Linked DNA regions of Astyanax mexicanus. The protein of the gene in region 2 interacts with the protein of the main gene of each other region in a pairwise test. Links are inferred from orthologs where the notes say so. Each region holds a gene or a part of one and is shown on either strand. Other genes may lie near its edges. The genes, in order: trim2a, ubac1 and rnf216.

Region 1 (7,443 bases), on a different chromosome or scaffold from region 2:
CAGCGCTGGAGTTTTAACTAAAGCTCATCAGAGCCTGAAACACCAAACCAGTACAGACGAGAATCTGAGACTTTAATGAGTCTACTCCATTCAGGTCACACCCATCATCTATAATGGTCCCATTTTCATTTACATACTCTCAACCCTAAAACCCATCAGGATCCCCCCCTAACCTACCCAAACAAAATCAATTACCACATTCAGCGCCGCCCATCAACACGACAACCTGCTGACAAGTTAAACGGAGCAGTGAAGCATGGAGACTCGGAATGGGTAATGCACTGGGACCACCAACCCAGTCTTAAAGAGACAGTCTGGAGATAATTCAGAATTATTATTATTATCTGAATACTGAGCATTTTGAATATTAAAACTCTCAAAAGCGACTTAAGATTTCAACTGTTTAATTATTCTTCATATTCATAAGGCATTAGACTACACAGAAATGATAATTTTCAGGTTAATTACTTTGTATTTTCTTTCATGCATGCATCCACTATTCTACACTATAATGTAGGAATCTTTTAGCAGTAGCAGAGACAACAGGAAGAGAGGAGAAATGGCCAGTTAATTTCTATGCTCTATTTTCATTAAATGAAATGGAATGTTCAGCATCACTTATCACACTCTGTATTTAGTTTATTCCTACTTTACAAATTGACTGTTTTCTAACTGAAAGATATGAGCTGTAGAGGACAGACATAGTAATGTTAGCTGAGCGACCTTAGCCTTAGCATCTTCAAAACAGCCCTGCTGAGGTACATTTATGATTAGAATAGCACTGCTGAGGTACATTTATGTTTGGAATAGCACTGTTATGGTTTATGATTAGAATAGCACTACTGAATTACACTTATAATTAGAATAGAACTGCTGATGTACATTTATGAGTAAAATAGCACTGCAGAAGTAAACCTATGATTAGAGTAGCACTACTGAGGTACATTTAATGATTAGACTAGTTAAATGTGTGACAAGAACAGCACTGCTGAAATAAATTCACTATTAAAATATAATGTGCTTTGCTTTTTTCTGTTAGGATATTAACGCTAAGTGTTAAGTAAGTGCTTTTCCTTTGAAAAACAAGAAAAAATATATTTTTAGACTGTTTAATTTATTTAGTGGTAAAAAGTGGCAAGTTATTTTGGGCCAAACATGTATATTTTGGTGCCCCCCTACTTTAATGTTCATTATATGGGAACATTATAAGGGAACAGCCACTCATGTTGGGTCAGCTGATCTAGCGCTGCACTACTATAGGTCACGGTGTTCCCTAAGGACTAGAAATTTCGTCTGGAGACGCCGCCTAATTCATCAAATCAGCGACACGAGTAATCATCGTCTGATCAGGACAATTCCCCAGAGTGAGTCAGCGATTACCGTCTACAGGGCCGTCTCACTAAACCCTCTTTTTCATCTGGGCTGTCACTTCTGATACTTATACTCCGGGTCTGATTTATTAGATTACACTACACTCACACTGCCATGTGACTTCAGTAACAGCCAATCAAAAATTACATGTTAATGAGCTCATGAGTATTTAGCACAGAGACTAAACTGGCCACAAATTTCAGAATTGTATTTTTTAAATCTGGCTTTTGAATCCGTAATAAGAGGTTGGATGCAAATTAAAAAAGTAATATCATGCAACCCTGTTTACACCTGGTCATGTCATGTGACTAGTATCTAAATTGTGCATGCATTTATACTTGGCAGACAATGGTATGTCTAAATTTCGGCAGTTTATGATGAGTGTATGGTTGTCTTGTCTTATCTTGTCTTGTCACTGATTCAGGTGTGCTGTTATATTCCACACAGGTTCCAGTGTGAATGAGGAGTGTGAGAAGGGAGAATCCAGGCCAGTCAGTGCTATAAATACATCACAGGCCTAACAGAGGTTCAGAACACTGTAAATATACAGGCATACAGCCATGTCTACTCTGCTCCATCATCATAGTAGGATCATAGGATGCCATTTCTTTGCAGGATTAAACATTTAAGACTGTTAACAATTCAATGTGAAATGCTTCATTCTAGAAAAGCTCATAATTGATAGTTTAACACATTAACACAGCCAATAAATGGTGTTTGGAAATAACACAAGTTTTTGGAGCGGAAATAATATAACATTCAACAAATATGACCTCTGCCTTGCTCATGTGTTCCCTGTCACAACCCTTTAACCCTGTTACTAGCATAAAAATTAATCACACAAAACGCTGATTGATGGTAGCAGCACAGACATCCTCTATACCTGCTGGTGTGTTGTGATTCAATCAGAAATTAGAAGATGCAGTATTAAGTAAGACGTATTAAAAGCCATTAATATCTGATTCGACACGATATTTATGGCACAATATAACGTTTTAACATCACTTTATGTGCATATGCAATAGTTACATCGCTATATAAATCACTATCAAAACTGTCTATGCATCTTGGCATGTTCTCCTCCACCAGTCTTACACGCTGCTTTTGGATAACTTTATGCCATTTCTGGTGCAAAAATTCAAGCAGTTCAGTTTAGTTTGATGGCTTGTGATCATCCATCTTCCTCTTGATTATATTCCAGAGGTTTTTAATTTGGAAAAATTAAAGAAAAACATCCTCATTAAGTGCTCTCTTATTTTTTTTCCAGAGCTGTATATGAAATGATTGATTGTGGATTTGTCAATTACAGTGACTTAACCTTGACACAGTCCATAATCATATCATTATGATTTTAGTGCACTATACTGTACTATACTGACTTCATACAGAGCATTACATTAAAGTCTCACAGTCTATAGTACCAAACCGCACACTACCACTAAACAGTACATCAGAACAGTACCCCAGCTTTAGTACACACTCATCTATAGTACACTAGCTGCTCAGCCTACAGAGTGCAGTGTTATCGTGCAGTGTGTGGTTTGGGACGCAGCCTTGAAATAACTGCATATTTACCTATAAGACCAGCAGAAAGACCAGAATTTAAGACCGATTTAAGTAAAAATAAGACGATAAAGTCTAAATTCATCACTTACGGTTGTGCTGAGACGGCAGGCGCGTGCTGTGTGATCAGCTGGGGCATTAACAGCTCTGCTGCCCCCCCCGCCTCACCACTTGGTTTGCCCCACAGCACGCGCGGACAGGCTTACTCATGTTTTCCACGCCCTTCCTGCGCTCGGATTGGCTAATTCTGTCCTCCCACGTGCGCTCTGATTGGCTAACAGCCCGTAGTCTCAAGCTGTTTGCTATATAACCAATCAGAGCGCAGGAAAGCTTATTTTGGCGGAAAATAGGTGGGAAAAAAATGATTTCAAACCAAACCCGTTGATTACAGGCTTATACTTGCGGTAAAATTCATGAATTATTTAGATGAATTATGTAAATTATGAGCTAAACAAACACCCAACGGACGCGATAATATATGATATCAGCTTATAATATAAGACGTAGCCTAAATATCTGCCTAAAAAGAGTATTTCAGTTCAGATAAATTGTAATTTATTTAATAATTTAAAAAAAGGAATAATTGATTTCAAAAATACACTAAATTACATGTATGTATACTATGTTTAGCTAAAGCGCTTTATTAAAATAATCTCATATAAAAAGCTTTAAAACTAATTTTATGATAAAAGTCTGTTTGCCAGATATATCACATAACAAAATTATTAAAAATACAGGGAAGTACCATTATGTACATTTGTTTTGTCATAATTTTTTACAATTATGATTCATCACAGAATATTATTTTGACTAATACAATTCATATTTTAAAGCAATTGACTTTTATAAGTATTATACACTTCTGTCATTTTATTCACATTTAAATATCCAATAATAAAAGCTTTAGTCTTAATAAGTAAAAATGTGTAATTAATGACATAATATTTATGTGGTTCATCAAAAAAAATATTTTAAAATCGATTGACACCACAAGTCAACACAACCTGGATACTGTAGTTAATTCTAAGTTTACTTATGAACTTATATATCAGATCTCTGTACTAAGACCTGATCGGGCTCTCGGGACCCTGGGCGAATTGGTTGGGCTAAGAGGATGGGGTGACAGGGCAGAACTGCATGGTTACCAGGGCAACCCTTTAGAGGCCTTCCCTCTAACATTGAGGAGACGGTTGCCATGCCAACAGTCCATTATGAGTCAGCCCCATGAAAACCCTGGGACGGGGGAGTGGGGGGGGATCTTAAAGGGGTGATGGGGGACGGAGGAGCAGTGAAAGTTATTTGCATTCCTTTTAAATTTGGATTTCCTTTGATACCGACTGAAAACTAGCAGCGGGTGCAGCCTGTACCCCTCCTCACCCGCACCCACCTTCATTATCACTGAGGATAATCGCATGAAAGAGTCGCATTTCCAGGCTTTGAGAGGCTTTGCTGGGCTGGAAATGAAGCATTTACGGCACGCATGACGGCACTGAGGGTTATTTTGCCATTCTGTCTTTATTTATTCAGCTCTTTTTCTTTTGGTTGAGGTATTGTTCCATTTACACTGAATAAAAGTAAAAGAGACAAGGCCTTCCCTCTTGCTTGGCCCACACTACAGGATAAAGAGGGACAGATCAGTGTTTTTGGGACTGATCTCTTATCATTTTTCAGCTTGATCAGCCAATCACCAACACAGCTTGAGGGTGGGGCTAGATGCAACATTAAACTTGGCAATATGTCACAAAAGTGCTGATTATTAAACAGTAAGATTTAGATTTATCACTGCTGCTGCTGTACTTTTGGTGGTGGTTAAATGTGGACTGACCAATTTGATGTTCTGTATGGTCAGCATCATTTGTTTGGCTAGTTGTTTTGCTGTGCTGTAGCTATTTACTGTACAAGCTGTAATATACGCTCCTGAGAGGGGTATCCAGTTAGTGAGGGTTAAATGTCCTTTATGAACTGACCACTGTAAGGGTCAGCTTAATTAATTACATTTCAGCTTTAAATCATCTGATACCGATACAGAACCATAGGATTTTCTATCTCTACTACAGGGTTTGTTTTTTCTTGTAACCGATGAGATATTATTTACAGAGAAATGAAAAAAAGATTTCAGCCAACACATGCTTGGTAAAATTACACATTCTCACAATTACTGCAATCACAAATACAATTTATAAACACAATTTAAATCCACCCTATATACTGTATCTGTATGAAATAAAGGATCATGTCCTAACAGAGAATCAGCACACTACACTTCAGAATATTTCATATTCACGATACATGATCACAACAGCCTAACTAGGGTTATATATTGTCAAGAACTATATATACAATACTATATTGAGATATTTTTGAAATATTGTGATATTAATGGCAAGGCCATTTATTGTGATTGTTACACCCTCTATGGCACAAATGAAATATTTTGGAAAAAAAATGGTATTAATATATCAATGACAAAATCCCCCACAGCAACACTGATCATTTTAATGATGCAGTGGAACTGGATACATTTTTTATTTAAAAAAAATTAAAACACTATTTTATTAAGTAAATGAAAACAACCCCAAAATATTTCTTTACATATTCATGCATATCTATAGTATATTAGATATTTATATTATAGATATTATAGATATTATATAATATTAAAATTAAATTTATTTGGTCAATTGCTGGCACCGTGTCCCATGTGGGTTTGGCTCTAAAAATTATTGTTTCACCCCCAGGTGAAATGTCAAACCCACTTCTACCCCACCTCTTTCAGTGAACGGAGACTTATCTTGATGTTATAATAACATATACTGTAAAAACGAATTATTTTGTTAAAAATAATAAAATAAAAAAATAGATTGTTAAAGGAACAAAGCCCGGTCAGTGTGGACCGGACATCAGCAGCACACAACAACCCCACCCATCTCCAACTACCATCATTCATCCTGTACTGGTTCTGAGTGCAGGATAGTGCAGGCTGGCTAATGCTGGTAAGTGCTGCTCCAGCTGCTTATGTTTATTGATCCATAATGTCTGGATCTGGATGCCACTTTGTCCAAGCAGCTCATTCATCCTGTAGCAGGAAGCCCAGTCCGCCATCAGAGGTTCATAGAGAATGCATCACATACTGATTATACTGATCACCACTAGTGCTGTTTAATCTAATCACTGAGGTAGATGACATTACAGTACTTACAGATTCTTTTTATTTTGGAAAACATATTATTTACTTGGTTATTAGAATCAGAATCAGAATTAGAATCTTTATTCGCCTAGTACAAAAGGCACAAGGATTATTTCTTGGTGCAGGTATCAACATTTAGATTGAATGTATTAATAGATGGATAAAACATCTAAACTGTATATAAGCACAAGATAGACTAAGAAACATGAATTAGAGTACACATGTAAAAGTCCAATAGGATATATGCAATGTAGGTGTTACAAGCAAGCAACAAAACAAAAATACAAAATTACCAAGGGTAAGTTCAATTTAAATATGCAAAAGTGTATAGTATATGGTAAAGACAGTAGATTATACATTAGTTTATACCGATTATATGATATAGTGTAATATAGTATAAAATGGTATAATAGAGTGCAGGTGCAGCACATACAAATAGTTAAAAGGTTCAAAGTTAAAATAAAGAAATGTAGACGTGTCCTTGGTTATTATTGCATTATTTTGAATGCTTATGCTTGTATTGAATTACACTCCCAAAGGACAAAGTACACTTCATACAATTTATTCTATTTTATTCATATTTATTTAGGTGTTAATTTTAGGTATTATTTTTCTTATCCTGTTTGAAGATTGAGTTAAAAACTCAGGTTCTACCTTCAGTGCTATGTAGAACCTACTTACCAGCGTTACCTTGTACAAATCCAATTGCTCAAACCACTTCAGGAGATGGTCTGAGACACATTTATAACAGAAACATGATTTAGACTGTTGTAATGGGTTAAATACAGATACACATCTATTTAATGAGGCTGTTCTTTATAACCAGTAACATAATTAACAGGCTAGTTGGTGTGTAGACATGTTGATCTTACCCCATCATAAGATCTGTAGGTTCTGGTGGTGAGAATTGATTGAAGAGACTCCTCTCAGACTTTTCTTTTCAGGGTTTCATCACTAATAGATCTGAAAAACATAGTTACTGTTATTACAGGAGATCTACACGACACTGAAGACCCCACAGAGGATGTAGTAAATGTGGGGGGGTCGGTGTGTGTTGTGCTGGTATAAGTGGATCAGATACAGCTGCTACATCTTGTAGATGTAAAGTCAGAGATATAAGCTCTGAGTCTGTTGCTGCACAGTTTGTGTTTGTCCTTCATCAGTGCTCACAGGACGCTGTTGGTGAGTCCAGCAGAGACACAGAGGTGTTTAAAAACTCCAGCAGCACTGCTGTGTCGTACTGCTTTTTGATTTTACTATATGTAAACAACATATAGCAGCTGGATCTTCTCTGAGGAGAGGAACTTTCCCCCAGTCTACAA
Region 2 (7,306 bases):
TGTGTTGAGTGACAGTGCGGTCAGAGTGGCGAGTGGTCAGATTTGCTGTGGCTTTGAGAATAGCATCCTTATCAGGAGCCTTGGCCTCCTGCTTCTTCTGTCAACAAAAAAAGGCGTGCAAAACAAAACAAGCTAAATAATGTATCTGTTTTAATCAGTGTTTGCAACATTCAACACTTGATGTACAGATTCACTGCACAATTAAGTGTGGGTCATTTAAGAGAGGGGTCATCACAGTGCATTACCTTCTCTTCAGCAGAAATGTCAGCCATTGGTGGGCGAGGTGGCTGTGGCCTCTTCTTTACCAATAACAAGCAATCTGGAGAAAAAAAATGTGAATCTTATATATGGAAACAGTTCCACATAGGAAGGAAACAATGCCAGAATTATTGTTAACATCTCAAAGTAAAACCGTGCAATACCTTTATCTTTAAGGTTTTCATCTGCAACCGTTTTGGCTTCTGTGAGAACCCTCTCTGTAGCTGCATGAATAAGTTTATGGTGTGTAAGCGTCTTAGGATCCTCTAAACTCCCATGGGCACACTGTCAATTAAGAAACATAGTTTAGAGTACAATAACTGCCATTCACACCTGCATATACAAGTCAATATCTTCTTATAGTGGTGCAGGGCCTGATAATATTAAAAAAAAAAAAAAAATTAAAAGCATAATTCATGCCTATTGATGTGTACTTGCCAACTGATTAAACATGTCATTCATGAGATGAGCTTCAATAATCTTGGAAAAAAACTTTGGAATTGGATTTTGTCTTACCAGTTCAATTTGTACATTTATCATTAATTACTACATTTAATATGATATGCAGAAAAGCTGAATGATTTTTAGCTGAATGACTGTACATATACAGCACTTCAAAAGGATGAGTTTCTTTGATTTTACCAAATTGAAAACCTCTGGAATATAATCAAAAGGAAGATGGATGATTACAAGCCATCAAATCAAACTGAAGTGCTTGAATTTTTGAATCAGGAGTGGCATAACGGTATCCAAAACAGTGTGTAAGACAGGTGGAGGAGAACATGCCAAGACACAAAACTGTGAATAAAAACCAGGGCTACTAATATTGATTTCTGAACTTGACTTAAACCTTAATGAATATGAGCTTGTTTTCTTTGCATTATTTGAGGTCTGAACGCTCTGCATCTTTTTTGTTATTTCAGCCATTTCTTATTTTGCAAATAAATGCCCTAAATGACAATATTTTTATTTGGGAGAAATGTTGTCCATAGTTTACAGAATAAAACAACAATGTTTATTTTACTCAAACATATACCTATACATAGCAAAATCAGAGAAACTGATTCAGAAATTGAAGTGGTCTCTTATTTTTTTCAGAGCTGTATATATATATATATATATATATATATATATATATATATATATATATATATATATATATATATATATAAAAAATTCATTTTGCACCACCTGCTAGAACCATTGCAGTTAGCTAACTGTAGACACCAACAGTCATCAAGTTATAAGTATCATGAGTATCAAATTCTTAGTACAGCTGTAAAAATCTGGATGTCACATGGTTGTGGAGCCCACCTTATGGTGGCTGTGAGCAGCAGCATACTCAAAACTGAGCACTAAGGACAGGTTTAGGGTCGTTTTAGCTAGAGTCGTTTCAGCAGCAAAGAGATAGATAGCTAGGTTACAAGCTGCAGCTAGTAAATACTGAAGCCTGGAGAGTGTAGCCATGGGGATAAAATGCACTGTAGTTAGCTAAGCTAGCTAGTTTAGCTAACCAGCAAACCCACAGCTCCAGCTATAGCTAGGTGACAGCCCGAGTTGCTGAATTATAAATAGCTCTGTCTACTCGCCTGCTGGTTTCTAAAAATACTTGGTAATGGCAGTGACGATCCCACAGGGCCCGGGTAAAAGCCCTGGGTAAGCAGCTGAGGATATTCAGCAACGCAAAAAGCCTTAGAAATAAGAAAAATAATGAGATATGGCCTAATCTGACTAATAACTACCTCTACGAATCTAGCTCATCAATTAATTAACTAGCTATAAATGTATACACAGGGCTTATTCCAAGTTTCCACGATTTACTGTACTGTACTGTAACACTGATTATGCTGGTACATTCTTACACATGTTTTGGGAGTGCAGTGTGATTTCTAAATTCTGGGACTACATTTTACATTTTCTGATATGCTTAAAATTCATGTTACACAAAAAAAAACATGTCTTTTTTATTAAGTGATGATAGTTCTTTTACATTTACACTATTTCAAAAGAGACTAATCTTTGCTGTCTTAACAGCAGCTAAATATATATTTTAATAATATTTAATTTGTTTAAAATAATGGCTGTTATTCTATTATGACATTGTCTCTCTTATACAGACTACTGCAATTATGAAAATAAAGATAAAGCAGCTACACTTGTGGGGTGGGATACCATTAGATCAACCTTTTAGGACTTGCTTTTATCTCATGAGGCAATATTAGACTCTCACCTTGTCACTTTTTTCCTACTTATTGACAGTGTGACAGTGACTATCTCTTTATCTCCTTTATCTCTTTTTTAAGCCTAATTGTAAATTATATAGTATATATACTATATAACAAAATGATCACGAGCGAAATAATAGAAAAGTGAGGGAATAGATACACAGCTATACTCCAGCTGCAGCTGTAACTACTACGTACATGCTTCAGACATTTCTCCTTCAGCTTCTCTATGGTGGTATCTTCGGTCACTTCCTCCAGCCACTCGGCGCCCTCCATGGTGCAGATGTGGATCTTCAGGACTTTACCTGCGAATATCTTCTCCTCCTGCACGAACATCGCCGCGATCAGGCCGAAGCCCTGCAGTGTAGATGTGCAGAAATGTGGTGGTGGTGATGGTGTACTCTGAGCTCCGGCTGCTGCCCCAGGACTCCTTATCCAGCCACTGTAGGTTAACTAACTGGACAAGCTCCAGTTATTAACGTTGCTCCGTCATTTCCAGCCCCATAGCTCGTCTCGAGTTCACCCCTCTAACCCGAGTTTAACAGATATTCCAGTAGAGCATGGATTCTCAGTAAATAGCTGGATATATTCACCCTGTTTTTGTTGACACCTGTGTTGCAGGCGACAACTGTACACGGAAGAGCAGGACGGCGCTACTACGCACGCGCGGGTTCTCCCTGCACGCTGATTGGCCGATCCGTTTATTTTGTCACAGCCTGTAATATAACGGAATATTATTATTATTACTAATAATGAATTTTTTTACGTGTGTTTAGGAAAATAATTTAATTCTTTGTTTGTCAATATACTTTTTTCTTTATTTATTCATAATAACTGATGCTATATGTGTTTTAGAGTCAAGCAAGTGTTACATGTATTGTATTAATCTACACTGCCTGACCAAAAAAAAAAAAAACAACCTGTATTTAACTAAGCAAATGATCTGGGGTTGCTGCAGTTGGTCAGGTCTAAATTCAGCGAGAGTATGTGCTGTAAGAACGAGGTCAGCTGACTACCTAAATGTACTGAATATAGACCAGCTGGTTATTCTATCAATTGAATTTTTCTTCTCTGATGGCACGGGCTGGCATATTCTAAGATGGCAATCCCAGGATTAATCGGGATGGAATTGTAAAAGAGTGGTTCAGGGAGCATGTGTCATCATATCACTCATGGATTCTCCAACATTTGTTAAATGATAAAATTATTTTGCTCAAGTGCTCAGTATGAATCTATTAATTTTGGACTCACTCGGGAGCTCCCCCTGGTGTTCAAACAAAGTGGGTATTTTATTCTGTAAAAATCATCTGATAGAATTTGGAATAACAAAGAGCGACATCTCCCATAGCAACAAATTCATTATTTTTTCTAAAACTGGTACAGAGGCAACATTTTTTTATTTTTTCAAAAATAAAGTAAAAATAAAGTTGCTTCCTTATATTAGTTTGTTAGACACGTTTGTGACAAATTCATCCCTGTAGATGCCAAACCATTAGAGGGCGGTATAGCTCCCTCTTTTTACACAGGAACCCGCTTTTAAACTGAGGGAAGAAGTCCAGCACTCGACAGGAGAAGTATTTACAGTCAGCTGGAGTTTATTTAGATGAGTTTTAATTTAGACTCCAGTCTGGGGGTGGTTTTAGAGCCAGAGGCAGCTAGTTAGCTGCGTAGCTCCATATCGCTTGATTAGTTTTAGTTGACAGTTCAGTGTTTTTACAGCTGGGCGGGGAGGGAAGACCCCCCTGCTGCAGGGTGAAGAGGGACTCAGTCTGTCTGACAGTGGAAGATCAGGAGAAACTACTCATCAGAAATGTCCAAACACAAAGCATCCAAGAAAATGCTCATTATTGAGGATGATGGTGAGTATTATATCTCCCTGTTCCGAACAGATCATACCTGAACCAGCTGATTAGCCTCAGTTAGCTATTAACTAGCCCTCTACAGGAAAAGCTGGCTAGATAAAAAGACAACTGTTGCTCCTGGTATTTATGGAATGTATTGTCTTACAATGCTTGAGAACAAATGCTTTTTTTGCACGGTCAAAACTGATGGCTGAATGATCCTACATGGCAAATTATTTTAAGCCTAATTATCTATATCACCCCTTTTAATTAAAATCAATAGCTAGTATTTATGAGTTAAAAGGGGGCAAAATATTCTAAATATCAGGCCGCTGGCATAACCATACCTGCATCTAATACAGCTCTGCAAAAATTTAAGAGACCACTTCAGTTTCTCTGATTTTACTATTTGTTTACTATTTGTTGGAGTAAAATGAGCATTGTTGTTTTGTTCAATAAACTACGGTCAACATTTCTCCCAAAAACAAACGACAATATTGTCATTTAGAGCATTTATTTGCAGAAAATGAAATAACAAAAAAGATGCTAATAAAACAAGTTCATATTCATAATGTTTTAGAAGTCCAGAAATCAATATTTGGTGGAAAAACTCTAGTTTTCATTCATTTTGGCATGTTCTCCTCCACCAGTCTTACACAATGCTTTTGGAGAACTTCAGTTTGGTTTGATGGCTTGTGATCATCCATCTTCCTCTTGATTATATTCCAGAGGTTTTCAATTTGGTAAAATCAAAGAAACTCATTATTTTTAAATGGTCACTAATTTTCCTAGAGATGTATATTCATTCTAAAAAACAGTAAACAGTGATCCGGTATGCTTGCTGGATGTAATAAGTCTGTCACAATAATTATGTTATTAATTATGTCGACTTACCATATTATACAATGTTGATATTATGGAAGCTCATTCCCGCCACCTAAAATAAGTTATTTTGATATGTTGTGTTATTATTTTGAGATACTAAGTGAGCAAAATAATCAGTACCTCAGAATAAACACTTAGTATCTCAAAATAAACATTTAGTATCTCAATATAACCACTTAGTATCTCAAAATAACCACTTAATATCTCAAAATTATCAGTTGGTATCTCAAAATAATCACTTAGTACCTCAGAATAAACACTTAGTATCACAAAAAAAACATATAGTTTCTCAATATAATCACTTAGTATCTCAAAATAAACTCAGTACCTCAAAATAACCACTTTGTATCTTAAAATAACCCTTTAGTATCTAAAAAGAACCATTTAGTACTAATATTATTTATCACAGTTAATTTAAAACAATTTACAAAAACAGTGAAATTACAATGTAGTGGTTCAGTGGTTTGGTCTTCTTAGTCTTTTATATGTAAATATATGTATTTATTTTATTTTTATGAGATGTGGTTGTGATTTAGTGTTTTTTGTGCTTTAAGATCCTGTGGATGAGCCAAAAGAGGGTGGAGATGAACTCAACCCTTTCTCTTTTAAAGAATTTATCCGGAGCAAAAACTATCCATACAGCAGCAGCGATGGTTTTGAGGTGAAGTACAATAAGAATGGCTTTGGCCATTGCTGTCTTTCCTATTACAGAAAAATAGATTTTTTTTTGTTTTATTATACTACTTCCATTCAAAGTTAAGAATATTTTGCTGCTTTTATTATTGTCTCTATTTAGTTTTAATTGGACAGCAACTAAATGCAAGGGATGCATTCAAGTAGTTTGTGTTGTTGTTTACAGTCTGTCTGCTGATTTTTTTTTAATGTTATTAATATCTGCAGAAAGCACATGGTGGTGCCTGTCATGTGGAGGACGAATATAACTACCCCAGAGGATTCGACCACAGTCACAAGGGTCAGTTTTTTAATGATCCCTCGCTGCTTGATCAGTCCTTTGACACTGAACCTGACGATGAATGGACTGAAAGTTACCAGCCCTCTGCTGTGGAAGAGGCACATGAGTTAGCACTGTGTGGAAAGCACGGTGCTTACATGGATCACTCACTACTGTCCAGTGAAGACAAGGACGACACTGCAAACGAGTGGGAAGTAGAGGAGGGCTTCTCGCCAAAGACTCATGTCCACAGGAGAAGCACTGGCAGCTATGAAGGAGATGAGGAGACGTCGGTCATCGATATATCCTACCATACTAAGATAAGCAGTACGGAGAACAGGGTCAGGGACCAGCAGAAGGTACTGAGATCCTGTGTTGCTTTATTTGTTTGGGTTTTTCATTAATGGATGCTCATCTGATTATTCAAGTAAACAGCATACTCTGATTTCTTAGATCAGAGTAATGTATAAATCTGATAAAGGGCAGGATTTTAGCTCAGAAACTGTATTTCTCAATTCATGTATACTCTTAACTGGAGTATTCTCAGATTTGTCAGTATGTGCATGTGTGAAAACAGACCCTGGTACCACGAACAATGTTTAACAAAGCACCCACAAGATGCTGACAAAACACTTGTGGAGCACTGCTGAAACTAAAGGATTTATCTTCAACCTGGTGTATTTTCTTTTTGAATCTCGATGTTTTTTTTTTTTTTAAGAGTTGCAACCTGAGGTTTGGGATTTACATGATGTTTACACATGATGTTACTTTATTCTGTGAGTTTTTTTGGCTGCTTACAAAGCAAAAATCTTATTACTCATCCAACTGATAATAAACACCAATCATTTAATATTGTGAATAAATATCAACACTGTGTTGCAAAACAAAATATTTTGATATTACACCACAAGTAAACGCTTTAATCGTATTACTGATAAACTGATGTTATGCGGTTCTGCATCAGATTATGAGATGTAAACATGTAAACACATGTATACTGTATTTAACACATGAGAAGTCATACATTTCTGTCTTTTCCAGCTAAGAGAAGAAAATTCCCTTCTTAGGAAGCAAATCAGAGAGCTCATCAAAAAGTCAGAGACAGACTCCTCAAAGTAAGAGTGAATACTAAATTTACTTCTGTT
Region 3 (7,577 bases), on a different chromosome or scaffold from region 2:
CATCACTGGAAGGCACCTATATGGAACCACATCATAACATTTAATTCACTGAAAGAGCAAAAGATTACTTATGGTTGGGACACATTATTAATGAGGAGCATCTAACCAGGTACATCACCATGTTATATTCACCCTACCGCATTGTTTCTACTGGAAAGGGCACCTTTAGGATACTGTCTAGTGAGGGTGGCATGGAAGACGCCTCAAAACGGAAACCTTTTCAAACCTTTTCTACTGAAAAGGCAAACAATCACCCATAGATGGGACATATTATCATTGTGGAGCATCTAACCAGGCTAAGATCACCCATAGTTGGGACATGTTATCAATGTGGAGCTTCTATCAAGGCACATCACCATGTTTTTATTTACCCTACTGCATTGTTTCTACTGGAAAGGGCACTTTTGGGAGACTGTCTAGTAGGGGTGGCATGGAAGACGCCTCAAAACTAAAACCTTTTCAAATAAAATGGCAAAAGATCACCCATAAATGGGACATATTACCATTGTGGAGCTTCTATCAAGGTACATCACCATGTTTATATTCACTCTACCTCATTGTTTGCACTGGAAAGGGCACCTTTGGGAGACTGTCTAGTAGGGGTAGCGTGGAAGACTCCTCAAAACTGAAACCTTTTCTACTGAAAGGGCAAAAGATCACCCATAAATGGGACACATTATCAATATGGAGCACCTAACCAGGCATATAACCATGGTTTTATTCACCCTTCCACATTATTTGTACTGGAAACGGCACCTTCAGAATACTGTCTAGTAGGGGTGGCATGGGAGACGCTTCTAAAATGGAAACGTTTTTTACTGAAAGGGCAAAAGATCATCTATAGATGGGGCATACCTGTATTATCAATGTGGAGCACCTAACCAGGCAAAAGATCACCCATAGATGGGGCATATTATCATTGTAGAACACATAACCAGGCACATTATCATGTGTTTATTCATCCTACCACATTGTTTCTACTGGAAAGGGCACCTTTGGGACACTGTCTAGTCAAGGAGGCATGGGAGATGCTTCAAAACGGAAACCTTTTCTACTGAAAGGGCAAACAATCACCCATAGATGGGACATATTATCATTGTGGAGCATCTAACCAGGCTAAGATCACCCATAGATGGGACATGTTATCAATGTGGAGCTCCTATTAAGGCACATTACCATGTTTATATTCACCCTACCTGGAAAGGGCACTTTTGGGAGACTGTCTAGTAGGGGAGGCATGGAAACATTTTCTACTGAAAGGGCAAAAGATCACCCATAGATGGGACACAATATCAATTTTCTTCTAAAAAAAGATCACCTAGGTAGGCACTCAAACTCTTTTTTTGCTCACAGGAGCTATTAGGACACTTTTTTATATGTGATACAGACTGTTTTAAAGATGTGGAGATGTGGAGACAGCATTCTTTCCTTCACGTTAAAGACATTTACTGAACATGCTGTGTGCAAATGTGGAAAGAAATGTTAAAAACCCAGGCTTTACAATGTTTCTCTGGGATTGTTTTATTATTATCAGGCAGCACTTTATAAAATATGGCCAAATCAGACAATGATAATAGGCATAACTGAAAACTTAAATACAGGAGATACATAGCCTCATATGTTTATGTGCCCCCTCTCCCAGTGACCCAGTGATGGTACAAGAAAACTGTAAATTGTTGTCATTGATGGTGCAAAGTTTTAAAACTTTATTCGAGAGCCACCCCTTTTCAGAATATACAGGCCCTAGGTTGTGCAGCACATGCCCATTTTATTTTGTTCACCCCTGAACCCTTCTGGATGTTCTTAGAACATTTTAATTTAACGTTTTTGAACATTCTGGTAATGCTGCTGCAGTATCACTTGTATCAATGTTTTTTCTTTAGTAATAATGTACTAATCATTGTGATGTTTTCAGAACGTTCCTGGAACATTATTTCTGTAACATTACAGGGTAACCTTCCTGAAACCTTTTCAAAACATTGCTAAATGTTCTTATAATGTTCTCTGTTTGTTGGTCTAATAGAATAATGAAAAATGGTCCTATTGTAATGTGTTGTATTGTTTTTATATTTGCAGATACATGATTTATTTACTTATTTATTCATGCATTACATTTCACTCATACAGTATTTTGGAAAAGTTTCAGTGTTTGATTTGATATGTTTCCCTGAAGTTGACTGTCCCCTATGTTTGAGTCTACTGGAATTTATAGGCTCCTGGCATTCGGCCCCACTGGCCCAGCCAGTAATCTATCTTTGATTGTGTTTATGACGCCACAATCAGAAAGAAAGCATTCAAACTCTCACTTTATCTTCCAGCATTAGGCTAATAACTACACTGGCTTTAAGATCAAAACACTGGCAGCTTGATCTGCAGGCTGTGTTCCCACCTCAAACCCACAGTAATATTAAATGAGCTATTTTAGCTTTTATGGTTAGATGCAGTCCTTTGGGAACAGAAATAAATCAAGGCACCCGTCTGACTGGGGGCAAAGTGCTGTTATTCAGTTCAAAACAAAATGCCTTCATCCAGAAAATCAACACAGAGAAATAGGTGGCTGGAGAAACAACGCTGTTATCATTGATTAGATACTGACAAATTAACCTAATGCAGGGTGGTGAACATTTCTAAGAATGAGATTTAGGTGGACCCACTCTGATATAGCATGGCTTACATTTTATGGCATTTAGCTGTTCCTCTTAGCTATTCTTATTTAGAGTTATTCAAGATTACTCATATTTTATGGATGTTATTTTCTGAGTATTTTATTTTAGGCCAGTGTAATATAAGGAGTCTAGACTCTTATTGGAGTCTAGACCCCTAAATGGCGTGGAACCATGTCCGCTTCTGTTCACCACCGCTCTGCAGCTCCCTTTGTTGATGACATATGATGTGACGTTTTGACGGTTCCACTAGAACCAGAGTTCTTTTGGTGGAAAAGCACTATGAACGGTTGTAGTGGGTTTTGGGGTAATAGAGATTTATTTCTTTTATATATATACAGGGGTTGGACAATGAAACTAAAACACCTGTCATTTTAAAGTTTCATGGCTAAATTGGAGCAGCCTGGTGGCCAATCTTCATTGATTGCACATTGCACCAGTAAGAGCAGAGTGTGAAGGTTCAATTAGCAGGGTAAGAGCACAGTTTTGCTCAAAATATTGCAATGCACACAACATTATGGGTGACATACCAGAGTTCAAAAGAGAACAAATTGTTGGTGCACGTCTTGCTGGCGCATCTGTGACCAAGACAGCAAGTCTTTGTGATGTATCAAGAGCCACGGTATCCAGGGTAATGTGAGCATACCACCAAGAAGGCCCAACCACATCCAACAGGATTAACTGTGGACGCAAGAGGGAGCTGTCTGAAAGGGATGTTCGGGTGCTAACCCTGACTGTACCTAAAAAACATAAAACCACGGCTGCCCAAATCACAGCAGAATTCAATGTGCACCTCAACTCTCCTGTTTCCACCAGAACTGTCTGTCGGGACAATAAATTATTGTGGTCTAAAACCAGGTGTTTCAGTTTCATTGTCCAACCCCTGTATATATATATATATATATATATATATATATATATATATATATATATATATATATATATATATATATATATATATATATTCTTTTTTTTTTTTCTATATGTACACTATTACACTGACAAGCCAAAAAATCATGTTCATGAATTGTTACCTCAGAGGATGTATGTCTTGGGAATACCCGAACCTTAAGTAAAGTTGTGAGGTGTTATCATGTGAGTGAGGTTGAAGTGAGGGGGGTTATGGAAGTGGAAATGAGGCCTGATAGTGGGTGTCATTCCTGAAGTTGTGTGAGTATTTAACATTCCTTGATCCAGAAGTGTCTCATGTCCACATCATAGAATGTATTAACACCCACAGTATATACAAATAGAAAAATAATTAATTCTGTCTCTAATGCATTAAAGCAACATCTCTGATTTATTTGTGAACATCCATTTTACATTGATTTAGCATAATGCTTTTCTATATATGTATTGTTTGTATTACACTTTACTATGTGTATATGTATATCTTGTATATCTATATCTTGTTTGTATTTTGTTCTTATAGCTAGTGTAAAAAGAGACATTTAAATAATAAAAAGGATTATTATTTTACTATAATAATTATTAATTTTATTGTGAGTGTAGTAGATTCAGAGTCCCAAACATTAAAAACCTTTCAATGAATGTAGCTTGATTTAAATAAAATTGATTTTTTTATCCACATTGATTTTATGTTGATTTAACATTGATGAAATGTTGGGGTTTTATATGTATTGTTTGTAATCTTGTTTGTTTTCTGTTCTTATCGGTTGTACAGTGTACATGCCAATAAAAGAACGTTTATCCAATGTTAGTTGAGGTACTCATTTCAAATATTAAAAAACAAACTACATTTCCCATCATCCTGTGCTGCACGCTTGTCCCCGTGACGTAGCCAGGCTTGTTTTGGCCGTTTGTTTCGATATCCGGCTCTGAAAGCTTGTCGATGTGTTGGTGGATTTAAACGGAGAGGTAGGTTTACCGCTTTAAACAATCCCGTCACGATGAAATACGATCATTTACCATCTTTATTAACCGGTGCTGGGTGAGGAAATGTGAGTCTGAGCGGCTAAATCTGACCATTCTTTAATCCTGTAGCTACTTACCCAGACTAGTAGGCTATTATCTAACGTGCTGAGCTAGCCTGCCAGACCACTCTGTGCCAACTCGCCTCTTTAGCCTGTTAGCTGCCTGTGGAGCTGTGTTGGAGCTTTACGCTGTGCTCCTGGACTCTGTGGAGGTTTTAAATGTAAAATATATGGTTTATATATTTAGCTGTACTCTCTGTCACACTCACTCTGTGTCCACTAACTTCAGTCTGTCGTTGTTTACACTGTTTACTCGTTGCTAGCTTCACTACAGGGCGACAACTGGACCAGAAATGAAAGTCAGTTAAGGGGTTTAACATCCATATAGCCGTGGAAACTTCTTTTAGACTAGTTTAAGACTGTTTAAGAGGAATTTTAGGTCATTTTAATGTATTGTAAGCTAGCTGATAACTTCATTAACACATAAGCTAACACTAGGACCACGTTTTTTTGTAGTGAATCAACATGTCAGCACCTAAAAAAACTCCCAGTCGATTTAATTTAGTTAAATGGTGAAGTAGTTACACTGCCTGTCCGAATAAAAAGTCACCACCTGGATTTATCTTGCTGCAGTTGGTCTGCAGGTCTAGGTTCGGCAAAAGCATGTGTTGTCAGCTAACTACTTTAATATACTGAATATAGACCAGGTTATTCCATCAATGGATTTTTTTTTTATAAATTCCAAAATAAGACAATGTCAGGATTCATGGGGCTGGATTTGTGAAAGACTGGTTCAGGGAGCATGATATCATCATTTTCACACATGGATTAAGAGAGTTCACCACTGAGTCCAGATCTTAACCTCATTGAGAATATTTAAGATGTGCTGGATGGAGAAGAGCTGCTTTGTGCAGTGGTCAGACTCTACCATCATCAATGCTGCTGCAAGATCTTTGTGAAAAATTAATCCAGCAACACTGGATTAAAATAAATATTGTGATATTGCAGAAGCTTATCGAGACAATGCCCCAGCGAATGTGTGCTGCAGTCAAAGCTAAAGGCGGTCCAACCAAATATTAGAATGTCTGACCTTTTATTTGGTGGCAAAGTAAAGTTCTTTACAGCACTGTTTTCATCATTTTAACTCCAGAACTCCAGTTCCTAATCCAGTTCCAGACACATACTGAACATCCTGAGAGCATCACTACAGGACAGTGTGTGAATCTGTCTTAATTCATGATTTGACCTAATTTACAGAATGTACCCTAGGTGTGCTGGAAAAAAATCTGGAAATAAAAGCATCTCCTTATAAAAGTCTAAACTTTTGGATTCTACAGATCTGTTTCAACCAGTTTAACAATTTAAACACTTTAATTGACCTAAATGTTTTACATTGTGTGTGTGTATATATAATATATATATATATATGACCTGAATACAGGTTATGTTCTATCATGATTTAAACTTTAAAATATTTACTTTTCCTGCGTGTTCCCACAGTAAGAAACAAACAAGAATGAGCTGCTTATTTATTTTTGAATTTGGCATTAATATTCTCTTATGGGTTAAAGAAGCACTAAACCATAAACCATATTGTTTTATCAATAGCTGAAATGTGTCCTTTAAAATAATAAAACATACCAGTCCTGCTTAACATTTTTATAACATTTCCTAACCTTAAAAAAAGCTTTTATCGTGGTCATTTCCAAATTATCATTTTGAAAATAATATAAATTTAAAACAATATATTGAATTGAAAGTACTGTATTGCAGTTGTCCCTACAAATCTTCAGTGAAATGAAATGTAAAAGAAAAAACTCTTCTAAACAGATTGCTTGATTAGGAGCTTGGACATTGGCTAGAAACTTGGTTTAGGTCAATTAATTCAACATATGCTGATTTAGAAAACATCTTACTGGTCATATAATACTACTAATAAATTGCTAACAACTATAAACAACATACTTTAAATTAATTGACAGTTAAGTATTATCTGTGCTATTAAAAGCTATTAGAATTATCAAATGTTTGTTCTTAACTCTACAGTCTGTTGTATTATCTCCCTTTTAACCGGTTTTTCAATGGTAAAAGGTTTCATTACTCTTTCCTTTCCCTCCTTCAAAAAGTCTTTCCTGGGCACATTTCTTGGGGCGGTTTCCCCAGACGATGATTAATCCTAATCTTGTACTTCACAGCATTTTAAATGGAGATTTTCCATTGATAGGACAGTATAGTTTAAGACTGGGCTTTATTCCTGTCTGGAAATCTGACCCTGATTGTTTCATCAGATTTTCAGACCATGCTTACCTAATTACGGTCTCTTTCAGTTGAAGTGTTTTAACTGTTGTTTTCCAGAATAAACAGCAGTAGATATCACTTGTGCTTACTAACTCTATCTCCTCCCGCAGGGTGATGCCTCTCTGATATCAGGGCGCTGTGTGTGTGCATGAGTGTTTGTGTGCAAGAGAGAGAGAGAAGGAGGGGAGGAGGAAGACTCAGGGAGTCTGGTTGGCTGTGTTACCATGGCTGACGGAACTGGTGATGAAGATGTCATTCATCTGGCCAGTTTTAACACACATCGCAGCCAAGGTTAGTGTCGTTTCTTTGCTTTGCAGTTAGTGTTTTCATGTTTTTTAGTGTATGTAGCCCCTTTCACACATGTACCTAGAGCTCTAAAAGTTGTTCGGAGGAGCTGTACGTATGAATACAAATTTATGAATCAGTTATAATAGACTGTATCCTCCCAGCCCTTTCTAGTGTAAGGTCTGGGTAATGTTGAGAAATCCCTTGTGTAAATAAAACAGGTAATTAGCAGCAGAAATTGTATATTGACATGGTTTATATTTGCCAAAAAAGCAAACATAAACCAATTTCACATATGTATTATCTGATAATAAATAGGTCTGTTAATTATTTCCATGCTACATGTTTCATTCACAGGTAGCAGATCAACAGGGAGGACCTACATAACCATATCTGA

What was found.
Region 1: the proteins of ubac1 (region 2) and trim2a interact in binary tests that used the Homo sapiens proteins (3 or more experiments, as listed by UniProt). The link is inferred for Astyanax mexicanus from reciprocal best matches to the Homo sapiens genes UBAC1 and TRIM2.
Region 3: the proteins of ubac1 (region 2) and rnf216 interact in binary tests that used the Homo sapiens proteins (3 or more experiments, as listed by UniProt). The link is inferred for Astyanax mexicanus from reciprocal best matches to the Homo sapiens genes UBAC1 and RNF216.

Annotation. Positions count from the first base shown.
Region 1 is NC_064432.1:21,843,040-21,850,482, forward strand, and holds the start of trim2a (tripartite motif-containing protein 2), read right to left. Parts: upstream 3,091-7,443; 5' UTR 3,027-3,090; intron 1-3,026. UniProt on the Homo sapiens protein: UBE2D1-dependent E3 ubiquitin-protein ligase that mediates the ubiquitination of NEFL and of phosphorylated BCL2L11. Plays a neuroprotective function. May play a role in neuronal rapid ischemic tolerance.
Region 2 is NC_064429.1:25,238,607-25,245,912, forward strand, and holds the start of ubac1 (ubiquitin-associated domain-containing protein 1), read right to left. Parts: upstream 3,136-7,306; 5' UTR 2,820-3,135; coding exon 2,682-2,819; intron 544-2,681; coding exon 423-543; intron 320-422; coding exon 246-319; intron 98-245; coding exon 1-97. Other genes in the region: entr1 (endosome-associated-trafficking regulator 1), read left to right, coding at 4,294-4,342, 5,764-5,870, 6,110-6,520, 7,203-7,276.
Region 3 is NC_064410.1:54,646,476-54,654,052, reverse strand, and holds the start of rnf216 (E3 ubiquitin-protein ligase RNF216), read left to right. Parts: upstream 1-4,448; 5' UTR 4,449-4,541; intron 4,542-7,005; 5' UTR 7,006-7,119; coding exon 7,120-7,186; intron 7,187-7,537; coding exon 7,538-7,577.